Linked DNA regions of Lepisosteus oculatus. The protein of the gene in region 2 purifies or fractionates together with the protein of the main gene of each other region. This does not show direct contact. Links are inferred from orthologs where the notes say so. Each region holds a gene or a part of one and is shown on either strand. Other genes may lie near its edges.

The links. Proteins that work in one complex are often made in the same cells at the same time.
Region 1: the proteins of naa30 (region 2) and naa38 purify together in Homo sapiens (co-immunoprecipitation; 3 studies listed by BioGRID and IntAct, with this or other methods). This does not show direct contact. The link is inferred for Lepisosteus oculatus from reciprocal best matches to the Homo sapiens genes NAA30 and NAA38.

Annotation. Positions count from the first base shown.
Region 1 is NC_090698.1:7,517,939-7,525,851, reverse strand, and holds the start of naa38 (N-alpha-acetyltransferase 38, NatC auxiliary subunit), read left to right. Parts: upstream 1-4,902; 5' UTR 4,903-5,067; coding exon 5,068-5,112; intron 5,113-5,860; coding exon 5,861-6,029; intron 6,030-7,264; coding exon 7,265-7,377; 3' UTR 7,378-7,913. Other genes in the region: cyb5d1 (cytochrome b5 domain-containing protein 1), read right to left, coding at 1,087-1,317, 1,893-2,111, 4,021-4,097, 4,325-4,445.
Region 2 is NC_090703.1:9,953,052-9,960,078, reverse strand, and holds the start of naa30 (N-alpha-acetyltransferase 30), read left to right. Parts: upstream 1-4,024; 5' UTR 4,025-4,233; coding exon 4,234-5,112; intron 5,113-7,027. UniProt on the Homo sapiens protein: Catalytic subunit of the N-terminal acetyltransferase C (NatC) complex. Catalyzes acetylation of the N-terminal methionine residues of peptides beginning with Met-Leu-Ala and Met-Leu-Gly.

The DNA of each region.
Region 1 (7,913 bases), on a different chromosome or scaffold from region 2:
TTAACATACACAGGGGTAATTAACGCGTATATATATTTTAATCAAACGTGCGGCGAGCAGAAAACGACGAAATTGCCTTATTTTATTACGCGTGATGCCTCCGCCGGACTTTTAACTACAATTATTCTGCAGTTCGACTTGTTGTAAAAGCGCTTTGGGATGCTGCTCAACACGACACGTAGACATGGGTGGCCGATTTATTGATGTGATTGAGACGAGCACAGGATGAAGGAGGTGGTGTCTGTAACCATTAAATACAGAAGGCGCCTAAGAGGAAATGAAATACTTAAAACAACTGAAGAAATAGCCATTGAGGGAATTATAATAACTAGTTACATATTTTGTTTTTATTAAAGAATGCCTGGACTCCTGTAAATATATAGCTGTGTTAATGAACTACACCAATATATTTTACACAATTATGGTATCAAATGTAAGCTGGATGAAGGAATAGGGGAAATTAATAATAATACAACTTAAACAGTGAACACACTAATACCTCATTTAAAAAAAGCTATAAACTTTGGACAAACGTTTCAGATACACACAAGTACAGCTCAGACTGCTGCAGCCCGTGTCCTGCTGAGCAGTGAGGAGCCTGTGGGAGTTCACCTCCACGAGAGGTGAGACTGAACACCCAGTGGTTAATCCAAAGCAAGCTGTGTCACGGGAAGCAAAAAAAGAGGTCCAAAATATCTAGACATGTCTCAAAATAACAAGCAGCGCATTTTATTATCACCGAAAAGCAACCCTTGAGAACAGGTCATGAGCTGCGATCATCCAGCTGTGAATAAAGGGGGAGGGAGAGCGAGAGACGGAGAGAGAGAGCAAGGGGAAGGGACAGAGGGATCTGGAGAGGGAGAGGTGGGAGAAGAGAGAAAGAGGCAGGGACAGAGGCAGAGGGGGATCAGCAGCAGCTGGTCAATACATGTCTCAGACTGGAGAGAGATCACAGAGATGGGGCCGGTAGAGCTGGGTGGCTCCCAGGGTCGTGAGACCAGAGCTCAAAACTGAAGCAGTTTCTTGGCGAAGCAGAGAGGACTAACAGGACAGTGGAAGGGGTGTGGACGTGCAGTGGAGCGGAGCTCACAGTTCGGTGAGATCGTCGTTGAAATAGAGACAGATGGACTGTGTGAAAAGGTCCCGGTCCATGCGGAGCTCATAGAACTCCTGATCCTCGTCGGCGATCCCGTTCTCCGACAGCGTCTTGCCCATGTCCAGGTTGACGCCGCCGTATTTCCAGGTGTAACTGGCAGCATGGGAGTTGTACTTCAGGTAGCGCTGCAGGATTTCCGACATTGTCTCCTCGGAACACACCTGGGACGACAGGCGAGGGAGACAGTCGGGACACCGAGATCTGTGCCGTCACCTGAATCACAGGTTCGAGCACAAAGGGGCCTCCCAAGAATACTCACTGGGGTTACACAAAAAAAACCATGAAAAACAACCGCGATGCAAATTAAGACTCCCGTTGCACGGCAGTTTGACCCATTTCATATTTTACTAAGTATTCTGAATAAGCAAATCGACAAATAGCTTTAATGTTTTTATCCCCAGGCAACAGTACACGTAAATTAATGCAAAATGCGGGAACAAGCCCAAAATATCCAGCATATATCCAAGAGCTTGCTTTTTTTAAAGAGAAAATGGAATAGTTTTGCTATACAACCTGTGATATGAACACTTTACAGCTCCGAGACTAGAAATACACTCTCTGTACGACACTAGAAATGTCACTGTTTTTTTGTCCTCTTTTTATTTTTTTTTAAATATTACATTTGGAGGTATTCTAGGAAATAAATAGGTGAAAACCGTACTGTCAAAATCATGAGAAATGCCCCTTTTTTTAAATATTGCAGGAACGCCTTGCCAGGCAGCAGTGCGCGGCTCACCTCCAGCATCTGCTCCTGGGAAGTCAGCGTGTTGATGATGCGCACGTGGCGGGTCTTGGCTGACAGGACCCCCACCTCGTAGCAGCCGTCTCTCCACCAGGGGCAGCCGAAGTCGTTGGCCCAGTCGGTGCAGGGCCAAGGTGGAGGCACGTGGACGAAACGCCCACTGGGGGTGTAGTACTTCTTGCAGCCTGACAGGGGGTCGACGTGGGTCCGGATCTGTAGGTGACAAGGTTGCTTTACAAACAGAGGAGTAAGGAGACAGTGAAACAGTGCCTAAGACCTGGACCTAGAAGCAGGTGCTATTGTGTTTCTCTCTGCCTAGCAACCCATAAATGGTTATTATAAATTTATTTGGCTTGCTCGTTTATCCATAGAGACTTACATGCAACCATTTATGCTGCTGGGTGTTTTACTGAAACCTGCCCATGGGTTCAAAACCATTGCTCCAGCCGGGAAATGAACCTATTCCATTTATCAGTCCAGAGCTCTGAGTACTGTCCTGCATGGTTAGCACCAGCACTGCAGTCCTTCAGCTCCCATTACAGAAGATCAGGTAGCACCTGCACATAGTAATGTAATACTATGCCACTATTGTTCACAGTATGTATGATCCTGTGTGTCAGCCTTAATGTAGAACTTAACACATGAGGTGTTTACAGGTGTTCACAGACAGGTGGGAATGACACTTATCTAACAGACACAAAAAAATCAACTATGTACCCTGAAGAGGCCCAGTTACTGACGTTCTGTTCATCTGAATGAAGAGGGGTGTGAAACCCAGAAGCTGGTTGAAGGCTGATAGCTCTTACTAATCCTTCCAAGATTTTTGACAGCTAAACTAAAATTTCTGATGAGCTCAGCTGGAATAGAAGGGTTTCAAAGGGGCTCCCCTCTGGGACAAGGCCTATGAACTGGTAAATGGCGAAGTCTCATTCACTAGAGATTAAAGACTTTAACCACGGACTATCTTTAGGCTGTGAAAATGCTGCAAAGTACAGTCCCACACTGACATCTACAGGCCAACTTACTTCACTGCAGTGGAGACACAGAAGTGCTGTGCTGAAAACAAGACACTGACCCAGTGAGGCCCTAGCAAACATCAGCAATGGGCACAGTCTGGCCATTTTATGAGGACCTCAGAGAACAATCTGTTGCTTGTTTCTTTTTTTTATAATTTGCAATCACTCTTTTTACAGTTTCCTTTATTTCTTAATCCCTCTGAATCAGGAATTCCCGTCTGTTAGTCTACTGGGATCCCGTATGGGGAGGGTGTGGACAGCGCACTTTCCTCCTCCCGTTGAGCCACCTGCGCGGTGAGACAGGAATGCAGGTTCCACTGTTGAGAGAAGCAGTGATCTTTGCAAACAGCAAAGATCTGCCCTACTACAAAATAAGTACAAACATATTGAGTTCAGCCAGCAGCCATATCACCCTGCAACTCATAACTGGCAACCCACTGAAGCTCAGCAGGTTGCTGAGGAAGGTTGCTGCTGGAAGAGGTGTTAGTGGGGCCAGCAGGTGTCACTCACCCTGCGGTCTATGTGGCTCCTAATGCCCCAGTATAGTGACGGGGACACTATACTGTAAAAAAGGCATCGTCCTTCGGATGAGCCATAAAACCGAGGTCCTGACTCTCTGTGGTCATTAAAAATCCCAGGGCATTTCTTGAAAAGAGTAGAGATGTAACCCTGGTGTCCTGGCCAAATTTCCCATTGGCCTTTACCAATCATGGCCTCCTAATAATCTCCATCTATGAAGTGGCTTTTTCACTCTGTTCTCTGCCCCACTGAGAGCTGGTGTGTGGTGAGAGTACTGGTGCACCATGGCTGTCGGCGCATCATCCAGGTGGGGCTGCACATTGGTGGTAGTGGAGGGGATCCCCATTACCTGTAAAGCCCTTTGAGTGGAGAGTCCAGTCCTATATAAGTGTAAGCTATTATTATTATTATTATTATTATTATTATTATTATTATTACCCTTTTAAAGAAAAGCTCCCTCCTTTAAGGAAGACACTAGTACCAGAAGAGCTCCACTCCCCCACCCTACATACTCACACCCTCAATAATGACGATTAATTAAAGGAGTGATTACCCCAACCCAGAGAGGCCTCTGCACTTTCACTTACATCTTTAGTCTTGGGGTTAAACCAGTGGCTGATGTCCTTCCCTGCGGACTCGATGATGGGTTTCAGGAGCACATCGCCTGAGTGGAGAAACGCATGAAGGAAAGGGAGCTTAAAAACTGGGGTGTCCATACCCGTCCCTCGCCCTCTCCTGATTCACCGCAATCAGTCTTTTAAACAATTATAAGGAAGGCAATCCGATAAGGCATTTTGTGCGCGTTTTACTACAAGTAGACAATGCGCTACTGAGGTGCACCGGGGTACCCGCGTTTGTGCTGAAAGTTACCCTCAGACGCTTTTAACTTACCCTGGTGCTCCTTCACCAACGGGGTCAAATCGTACACTTTGCCCAAATACGAAACCCATAAATCCTCGACAGTGTTGTGCAAAGAGACTTCGTTAGGAGTGTAATATTTGGGGCGCCGCATCTCCCCTGCAAGGAAGTAAAACAAGTTATGTATGAGCCGTCATGTGTTAAATTGAAACGACCATTACACACGTTTGTATTCACCTAAACAGTATTAATCTTTTTTTCTTTCTTTAAAACTGGGGGCGCTGCAGAACTGTACACAAAACTTTGTTTCTGTTGCCGTAGCTACGCCAGGCCGGTATGACGACACGCAGGAATTCTGGGATTTGTAGTTCTGTCACCCCAGGTGACGTCTTGAAGACACTTTTATCAAAACAACAATCCGTGGGAAATACGTTTATTTTTTCGTTCTCCATGAATTCAAATGAACTTATAATCCTATTAACTTTAATTAATGGAACGCCTGGTTTGTTTTCAAGTCAATTACGTTCATTTTTCAAATAAGGAAATTGGAGAAAAAAAGACGTGCGACTACGTTTTCAAAACAGACCACCCCGAAGACCTAAAAACAAGGCGTCCTTGTCCTTCGTATTTAAATAGACACTACAATACCCACAACACCCTGCGAAAACCCGGATGTACTTTGGAATTTTTTTTTTTAAAAAGGTCGCGAGGGTCCGTGAAGGTCTGGAGAGGGGTGAATAAAACCCAGTCAAAAATTAAATGAATATAAATAAGAAATGGCGGCGGTGAAAGAAGAGAATGGTACCGCAGCTCGTTCGGGGGTGAGTGGCCGTGCGAGTCGGTGGAAATGTCTCGGTGTTAGCGTGCCGGTGGGTGACACAGGCATGCGGGGTGGATTAATGATGGCACGTTTTCGCCCGGAAACGGGAAGACAGCGGAGGGTCGCCGCTGTTTCACCCTGCTCTCGCACTGCCCCCCACGAGTACGGGCCGGACGAGTGAAGTCTTGGAGTTAGTGCGGTGGCTTTCTAACCTGGGCTCTTGTGCTGTCTTAGGCCTGCTATTTCAGTGCTGACCGCGCGTTTGGTAACCTGCCCTGCTGCGTATTCGCGACTGTTCAGAGGTCAGGGGGACCCCGGATTTATTTTTCAGACCACCTGCTTTAAAGTGTGCCACATTGCATAGCGCGGGTTTCAAAGGGCTGAAGTAATTGGCAGTGCATTATTCAAGTGAAGAAGCTGCAAATCTGGAATGCAATTTACGCTGAAACATTTCCAGAAAATGCCCTAATCTTAATGGCACTGTGACCCTGTGACACCAGTTCAGTCCCCTGCCTGTTCTGTGCATTAACTTCACAAGATCATGGTATTGCCCTGATTTATGCCAAAATTACTTTACAGCTTGGTGCTTTACCTGGAACTCTCTAGCCTTTACCATGTTTTTAGCCTGATCATGCCTTGTCCACCACGTCGTCATTGTGCTTGACTCCTCTTTGGCCTTGATCTTGCTGGACAAAGGAGGCGGTCCTAAGCAAGGCTCGCTCACCCATTGGCTGCCCCGTGTCCCGCAGGGGGAGGAGTCCACGTACACGCTGGCCTGTCAGAAGCTGGAGAACCTGCTGAACAAGAGCATGCGCATCCGCATGACGGACGGGCGCACGCTGGTGGGGCTGTTCCTCTGCACTGACCGCGACTGCAACGTCATCCTGGGGTCCGCGCAGGAGTTCCTTAAATCCACAGGTACCGCCTGTACCCCCCCGTTTTTGTCAGGCAGCTGCGTGGGGGGCGTTTGGGGTTAAGGCTCTGGACTAGTAACTGGGAGACTGACCTGGGATTTGAACCCACAGCCACTGCTGTTGCACCCATGAGCAGGGTATTTAACCCATGTCTTCCCGTTCAAAGTCGTTGGGGGGGCTGCAGCCAATCCCAGTCAGCAGCGGGCACAAGGCGGGGTACACCCTGGACAAGGCGCCAGTCCATGGCAAGACACACAGAGACACCAACACACACACACATGTGCGGGCCAGTTTTCTCAGAAGCCAGTTAACTAAGGTTGCTGCTGGAAGAGGTGTTAGTGGGGCCAGAAGGGGGCGCTCACCCTGCAGTCCATGTGGGTCCTAATGCCCCAGTATAGTGATGGGGACACTATACTGTAAACAGGCGCCGTCCTTCGGATGAGACGTAAAACCGAGGTCCTAACTCTCTGTGGTCATTAAAAATCCCAGGGCGTTTCTCGAAAAGAGTAGGGGTGTAACCCCGGCGTCCTGGCCAAATTTCCCGTTGGCCCTTACCAATCATGGCCTCCTAATAATCCCCCTCTATGAATTGGCTACATTACTCTGCTCTCCTCCCCACTGATAGCTGATGTGTGGTGAGCGTTCTGGCGCACTATGGCTGCCGTCGCATCATCCAGGTGGATGCTGCACACTGGTGGTGGTGGAGGGGAGTCCCCATTACCTGTAAAGCGCTTTGAGTGGAGTGTCCAGAAAAGCGCTATATAAGTGTAAGCAATTATTATTATTATTATTAACTTACCAGTGTGTTTGTGGACTGCGGGAGGAAACTGGAGCACCCGGAGGAAACCCACCCAAACTCGGAAAGAACATACAAACTCCACACGGATAGCACCCCAGGTCTGGAATTGAACCCAGGGCCCTAGTGCTGTGAGATAGCAATGCAAACCACTGCAACACCATTCCGCCTTTCACCCATCCTGCTCTATTTAAATAGAGGGATGATTTTGGCAGCACAGCAGTAACTGCTCACGACTCATCTTTTTCCATGTAGTTAATAAAAATGACTCCTGAGATTTTAACCGTGAAAGAAAACACTCCAGTAATGTAATGGACACCTGCAGCAAATGCCTGAGAACTGTAACGCGGAGTTTGAGATGACCATAATGCACATTCCGGATAATGTTCAGGTTAGCCGTGTTTTTTTTTTTCCTGCCCTCTGTTCTCTGCTCTTCCTTTCAGACTTGTTCTCCCAGGGCGAGCCCCGCGTGCTGGGCCTGGCCATGATCCCCGGGCACCACGTGGTGTCCATAGAGGTGGAGGCGGACAGCCTGGCGGGCTCTCAGGGCTTCTAAAAGGCTCGTCGCAAGCCGTCACCTGGAGCTGGCGGACTGAACAGGAGAGGACAAGGCAGCTCAGGGCCAGGCCAGCTGGGAGGGACGGGGACTGGCCTGCTGGGTGGAGGGAGGGATGGTTTTGCTGGGTGGTTGATCCTGATATGGTTGTTGTCTGCGTTCCAAGGACTAGGCTCTTTCAGACGGGATGAAGTGAGCCCGTAGAACACTCTATTTGCTGCACGTGGAAGCACGCAAAATTGAAAAACAAAAATGACACAAACTGCACCCCCGGCTTTGGTGGCCTCGTAGTCTGCCCAGTGTCGCCCCTTCCTGGAGCGGATTCTCCGGCTGATGGGCACATGGGGCGGCGAGGAGAGGAACTGGGCGCTTCTGGGATGAGCTGCACACACACACACACCCAGACTGCGCGACAGGCCGCAGCCGCCAGGGCCGCAGTGAAGAAGCCATGCGTCCTTGGGATTGTTTTTTTTTTTATTTTGGGGCTTGCTCAGAGGCTTGACGTTAACTGATTTTATGGATTAAAAACGTTTGCT
Region 2 (7,027 bases):
TTTTCTCATGGATTTCTCCTTCCCTTGCTGGGCTCCTGAATAGCTAATTGCTGCGACAGATCTAACGAGGGTCTGAGTACTCGGGCTCTTATAGAAAGCAGGGGTGGGGGCTCCAGTAAAATACCAAAGGGAGAGGGAGGCATTGTGCTGGGTCTTACAGCCCTCATCCTTTCTTGGTGCTGTGTTTTAAAATCCTAAGTTATAAACTCTAGTTTACTGTCTAATAACTCTCTTTTTAACAGTGGTATTAAGTATATCTTTTAGAGGGCCATACTTATAGAGGATCCATGTGTCTCCAACTCCAGGCTGCCCTGGTCAGCTGAGAGGGACGGGACTTGTCCTCCAGGTCTCTTGGTGTGGCTTTGTTGTCTGTGTTGTGTTGAGACATCCACTATCCCCCCTTCTGTTCCAATCCCTCCTGGCAGTGAGTGACCTCTGACCTTCTGCTTTTCTTTTTTTATTCATCTCTTTCCACTCTTGATTTCTATTGGTAAAATCAAGTAGGCATTCCAGTGTCATAAAATACCGGGCGATGTTTCTAATAACTAACCATAGCATTCATAATTGCATCTTCATCCCTGCTGTCTCCTTCTCTGTGACTTCTTTCTGTGCTTATCAGGCTCTGTGCCTCTCCTGGGGGTAACACCTCACTCTAGACCAGCAGCAGGGACAGTCCTCTTTTCTATCACAAGGCCTTCACATACCCTTGAAGGCTTCCATAGCCGTAGTGAACAATTACCAATAGTCTCAAGCTCCAGAAAGTAATTTCAGTAGAGGAGCCAATGGAGCTTAAGGAATACTAACACAGGGCAGTGTGGCAGGAACATGGCACAGGTAAGATAAAAGATGGAAGAGCCTGTGTTCAATCTCCACTGCAGTCAGTCTCCTGAGAGAATGCTTTTTTCTAGTCTCTCGCTAGCCTCCTTGGGCCCCACACTGATAGAGGCACCACATTCTCATGTGGATTTCGACTCAGGGGCTGACCCTGACTAATGTTCTGTCAGTTGGGACCAATTGCTCACACAACCTCTGCATGTATTTATGGGAGACCATGGAACAACAGCAACTGTAGGCTCTGAGCTTCTTTTATGGCTTAAGGAAGCCAGAAAGGCATAACCTCTGAAGTCTGGCACAGGCTGGAAAGCATTGTTATGACATGACACCCCAATACACAGGACTACCTGCAGGAAATGTGCTATGGCCAATTAGTTGATGATTGGAACGCCTTCTTAGGCTTAAAGGTCTTGGTCTTTAAGGGCCTTTGGGTGACTCCTTTAAACTCCATACCTACTAATACATTCCTTTTTATATACTTATAGAGAAAAAAAAATCTATGAAAGGAAACTGTCATTTGCCATGTTGCATTGTTAGTTGGGTTCATCGTTATTCTGCAAGCACTCAACCACAATCCCACAGGTGTGTCGGGGGATAACAAAGCAGCAAGCACGGCTTTAGTCTCTGTACAGAACCCAGCAGAGCGCACATATCTGCACAAGCAGGACACGCCATTACCAAGTCAGTCAATATTTAAGAGTCTGAAGCACTCAGTGCGTCCGCCCCTCTCCAGCACATTAGGAGTGGAAATTGATTCCAGAGAAAGAGGACAGTGGATTCTCCGGGTAAACTGAATAGGGAGCAACTATCCAACTGGAGAGACCTGCACAGACGGCAGGCCGTGTAACCGATAAAACTTTGCACACAATTAGCATGAGGCAACTGAGCTGGAGAGAAAACAAACCGCTTTCGCACGGAACAGTGGGCTGGGCAACAGGAATGTGCCGGCACAGCTGGCACAGAGCAGGTCTCTCTGCATCTTTAAAGAGCAACACAACACTGGCAATGTCATGTCATTCAGATGACATGCGGGATCAGACATCTTGCAGAGCTGTTGCATTAACGACAGAGCATTATCTGTATTTGCCTGGCCTCTCCTCCAGCAGAGCACTATCTATATTTGTCTAGTCCCTCCTGATGTTTTCTTTTGACACAAAGGCGCCCTGGATTCATTTTTAGTCCTGTATCCATCAAGCAGTGTATTTGAACCCAAGCACTAGCTGTTAAAAAAGGGAGTGACCGAAGATAATGGATAACAGCAGCTCTTGCTAGGACTAAAAATACACAACATGGAAGGGTAAAGTGATTCCAAAAGCCAATAGATTTGTATTACAGTCAATGGAGGGACAGCCAACAACATGGAAATGTTCTGAATAAATGCTTTCTCTGTAAGGTCCACTGTCGTCGGGACAGGGGGAATTAAATATGAATTTAACATTAAAAGCATTGACATGCACTACAGGCTAGTTCTCCAAATTGAACATGGCTTGTGCTGTGAGAAGGAACAGTCATTTGGACAGAATAATGCTTTCAGTGTAGTGAAGTAATGTGTAGAATGCTTGTGCAATTTTGTTAGGTTTACTACTGGAGCAACAACAAATACTACGCAGAGCGAAGTCTCTGGCCTGTACTGCCCTCTGCTGGAATCTTTCTTCCCATTATAAAAACTGTACTGGACTTTTCTCTAGAGATAGGCTGGCCAACTAGAGCAGTTTACCTATCTGAATGGATCCTTTCCTTTTTCCAGTTCTAAAGATCCACAACAAAGATTTCACCTGGGGTGAATCTGATCTCTTAATTTGAGCTGGAGAACCTTAAAGCCAATTTAACAGCTCTCAACTGAGCCTGTGCCAAGGACATAGAATGGGTGTTATAGGATCCTTTTGGACATACTGAAGCCTGTTGTTTAGAGTAGATGCCCTCTTACAGCAGTCAAATCCCGAAGTCACAAAGTGTGTGTAAACACTTCAGCGCCAGATAGACTTAGCAAGGCCCTACACACTTGGAAAAAAATGTACCCTTCTGATGTGTCCAATGACAGTCCAGGGACAAAGATGACAGCAAACAAACTTATATAATTGGCTCCATTTCCTTCTAAGGTCTACGTAGATGGTTTTAAAATGGGCAGACACACCTGAAGCAGAGCAAGAGAACCCAAACCAGTCCCCTCACCCCCGTTTTTACTCAGAGCGAGAGGCATTTGAAAAGTTCTGGGTCCGCAGGACCCATCCCCAGATGCTGCTCTTTCTCCGCAGCATGTGTGACAGTGTAGACAGCATCTCGGATTATTTTGAGAAACAGCACGTCTTTCCACGTGATATACCAGAGGATATGCTCTGACTGACCACAAGAAACAAGGGCCTCTACTATACTCACTGGCACAAAGGACAGCACCTGATTCATGTATAATAGGTTGCAGATGTTGATCCTGAGTGCAAGACGTCTTACAAAATAAGGGGGTGCAGTCCCATCCCGTTGTTAATACTGTAGCTAGTTAGCACAGAGACCACCAAGATCCTTCTGGAATGTTCCTGGTGACTCAGCACTTTGTTAAACTGGAATGTGTTGCACTACCACATCTAGACTTGGGATATAGTTTGCTATGCCAGAATAGAGGAAGGTATTTGTGCTGTGAAATCTCTTTAATTGTACAGAATAATCCAGCTGGTAAGAATCTGTCGTCTGTTTTATTCTCTAGAATTGTTTGCGAGTACATTTATCTTTATGCATGAGTATACATAGCATGCATACATTGTAAACCAAACTGGAATCACATGTCCACTGTACAGCTCGCTTAAAACAAGTAAAGGAGGATTCCCTAAACTTGTCATTTATATAAACTTTCCTATTTTCTCATTTAGTGCGCTGACCAAAAGGATCTGTCTTTCGTGATTCTGCTTCGGCCCCAGTCTTCCTAGCGCTCTAAACGATAATAAAGTTAATATGAAACATAAAGCTTCATATTTACTCAATGCAATATTTTAACAGCATTCTTTAAAATAAAAATATGAAACTGTTAATTTTAATGTAAATTAGGCTGATCGCTTCTTAATCTCAATAATATATGTTGAACACATAACCGATCTAACTCGGCTTCCGCCGAATCGATCTACAGGCTATATTCGCGAAATCATGGTTCCCACGAGTGTCGTAAAGTGTCTCCTCCTCTTTCTTGGTGTCGTACTGACAGTCGTTCCACTTTCCGGCAGCGGGGAGCAGGAAAGCCGAGGAGAGAGTGACGGGTAACGACCAGAGGAGACCTGAGGGAGAAGACTCAAAACTCGCATATTTTAATCGTTATTCCCGGGGGGGATTGGTATTGCTTTTACCTGCCCCTGACCAACAGGATCTCTCTTTCGTGATTCTTCTTCGTCCCCATTTTTCCCTGAATGAAGTGGGATGGCTGAGGTGCCGCCTGGGCCTAGCGCGCTGCCTGCATCCCCGGCCGAGATTATTCCCTTCCCCGGGGTTGGGTGCGCCATACCCGGGGAAGGGGGGGAACGTGGCTGTGGACGAGGAGACGCAGCGATCCCCGGGGTTGGACAGCAGCAACAAGTAAGTGAAGGGAAAGGGACGAGCAAGGCAACTCAGAACCACCTGTACTCTCACCCGGCGGTTCACCACTTCCATACTCAGACACAGCAGCAGCAACAACTCAACGGCTTAATAAACGCCGCGGAGGACGGCCTCGCCTGCACTCACCACAGCCGCCTCCATAGTCATCACCATCACCCGGCTCACAGGCCGTCTGACAGCCCGGGGGCGCTCACCGAGCACCGCGACGGCACCGGCGGGGCTCGGGCTGGCGCCCAGGAGGGCAGCAATTTCGGCGACATCAACAACAGCGGCTGCCAAGGGCAGCACTGCCCGCCGCAAAACCACTCGTACTCGAACAACAACCACAGCATGAACAGCATGCTGACCCTGTCGGAGGAGGCGAGCTGGAGAGGCGACCGCGCCAGGACTGAGCCCCGGCCTTCCCCTGCCGACCCCCCGGCCGTGGCAGGCCTCGGGACTCCAGGGGCTGGCGTGGAGCTGGAGGCCGCTCTGGACGGCTCTTACACCGTGGAGGCAGCGGTGTCGGAGATGGCGAGGGTGGTTCTGAATAGCTCTGGCGGAGAACAGGGGGAGGATGAGGAGCCGATCCAGTACGTGCGCTATGAGTCTGAGCTGCAGATGCCGGACATTATGAGGCTGATCACTAAGGACTTGTCGGAGCCCTACTCCATTTACACCTACAGGTACTTCATCCACAACTGGCCTAAGCTCTGCTTTCTGGTACGTACACTGCCATTTTACTGGTGAAGTGGTGTGTTGTGCGGCTTTGGGGTGGGTTGTGGGATATTAGCTGCATGAGTTGGGGTTCAGATCCCTGTAGCAGAGCTCTGCACACACTTTGTCGCTGTGGCTAAACTAATAAATGGACGTTGAAGGTCCATGTATTGTCTAATTGAATTGCTCATTTTAATTAAAGTCTTTTGTTACTCTGACATAGCATTTTATGAGCTTTTACTGGAATATCACTTCACTCGTATCGGTATGGTAATAAAATACTTCCATTTTTGTCCAAGTGGTGGGTAATACCGAGATGATTTCCAAAACCTCGCTCTGACACTGAAGGAACTGTCGTTTCGACTCCTCTAACTGGGGCTTTTAGTTGTATGATGTTTTAATATTTCCTCTTATCCTCTCATACTCTTAGACTTTTTTGGGCGAAAGCGCCAAGCATATTTGATATTTAATTTTAAAGTTATTAATTACTTTGTAATTGACTAAATTATGATGTGAGAAACTTGAACCATAGGGCAGAGAGGGTAGAACTGAGGCTAAAAAAAGTATCACAGATTACTGTTACAAGGTGGCAGTCAGATTATGATGTTTTATAAGCTTTTACCATTTTTAGTAGGTATCAAAATGGTTTGGCTGCTGTCAAACTCATTCAGACCCATGGAAAGGTAGGAACAGCCCTGAACAGAAAAGTTTAATGTGATGAGACCACGTTTTCCATTACCCTCTCTGTTAATAATGCAGTTGTTTCTTTGCAACCAACTGATAAGTGCTAAACTAAAACAGAAGCAAACAAACCCCGGCAAACTGACTGTGTGATAACAGGAGATGAAACTGTAGATTGAAAGATTTATTAATAAGACTGATGTTTAAGCGTGTTTGGAGATAGTGAATTCATCTCTAATGGATATGGGAAATGTGTATAATGGACATGGTGCTGCACGGGAGAAGGCTCTGTCACCAGGTGTGGAGTCTGGTGTTTTATGAGGAAGAAGGCCAAAATCAAGGACATCAGGTGGCTGTTAAGTAGCAGGGAGGCCTAGTCATCTTATCTTAACAGGTGTCAAAACAGAAAACTTCAAATCAGTTTTTCGGACTCATTTAAGATGTTAGTAACAAATGTACAAGTTCGTACCAAGTAGGGGTGCGGTACTAGGTCTCAATTTAACTACGAACTCTCTTACTAAAGTCCCATCAACAGCAGGAACTGGGAAAGCAGAAGGGGTGTGGTTGTCATAACTACATGAGTTGAGGGCAGTAACTGGTTCTTTAATATTGCTATGAATAAATTGCATGAATGGGTTACTTTGCTCAGCAGAGGTATTGGCTAGTTCCAACATTTTATATTTTACTGATAGTGGATAAGGTGACTGAAGTATTACTGTGATCCTGGGTCTGGCTGCCTTAAGAGTATGTTTGTGTTCCCACTGATGTTGTGCATGAACTGTCAGCCCATAGAAGGCTTATTTCTTTAAGCAATATTTTTTTTGTTTAAAGTTCTTTATGCTTCCAAGTGAATGGACTGTGCTCGGCACTAGACCTGCATGCAGTCCTTTTGCCCTGCCTTAACATTGCAAAATAATCTGCACAGCACCGTGTTTGTAAATTGTGTATTATATCTTCTTTAAAAATCACACCCTGAAGAAGGAAAGGGTGTTACACCAATTTCCTGCTACATCAGGATCTCAATTAAGGGAGCTTTCATTTCAGATAGTTTCTTCCTTGCTTCAGGTTAAATTATGCTTTTTTTTTTGCTTTGAATATCCATTTCAGCATTTTCTTTACTCAAACTGATTATTGCAAGTATTATGCAGCTTGCATTGAGTATCATTATGTGCCTAGTATAAGACTGAGCACATCCTTTGAAATGATATATGGTGGAATGATGAGGTTAATTTGAGGGAGG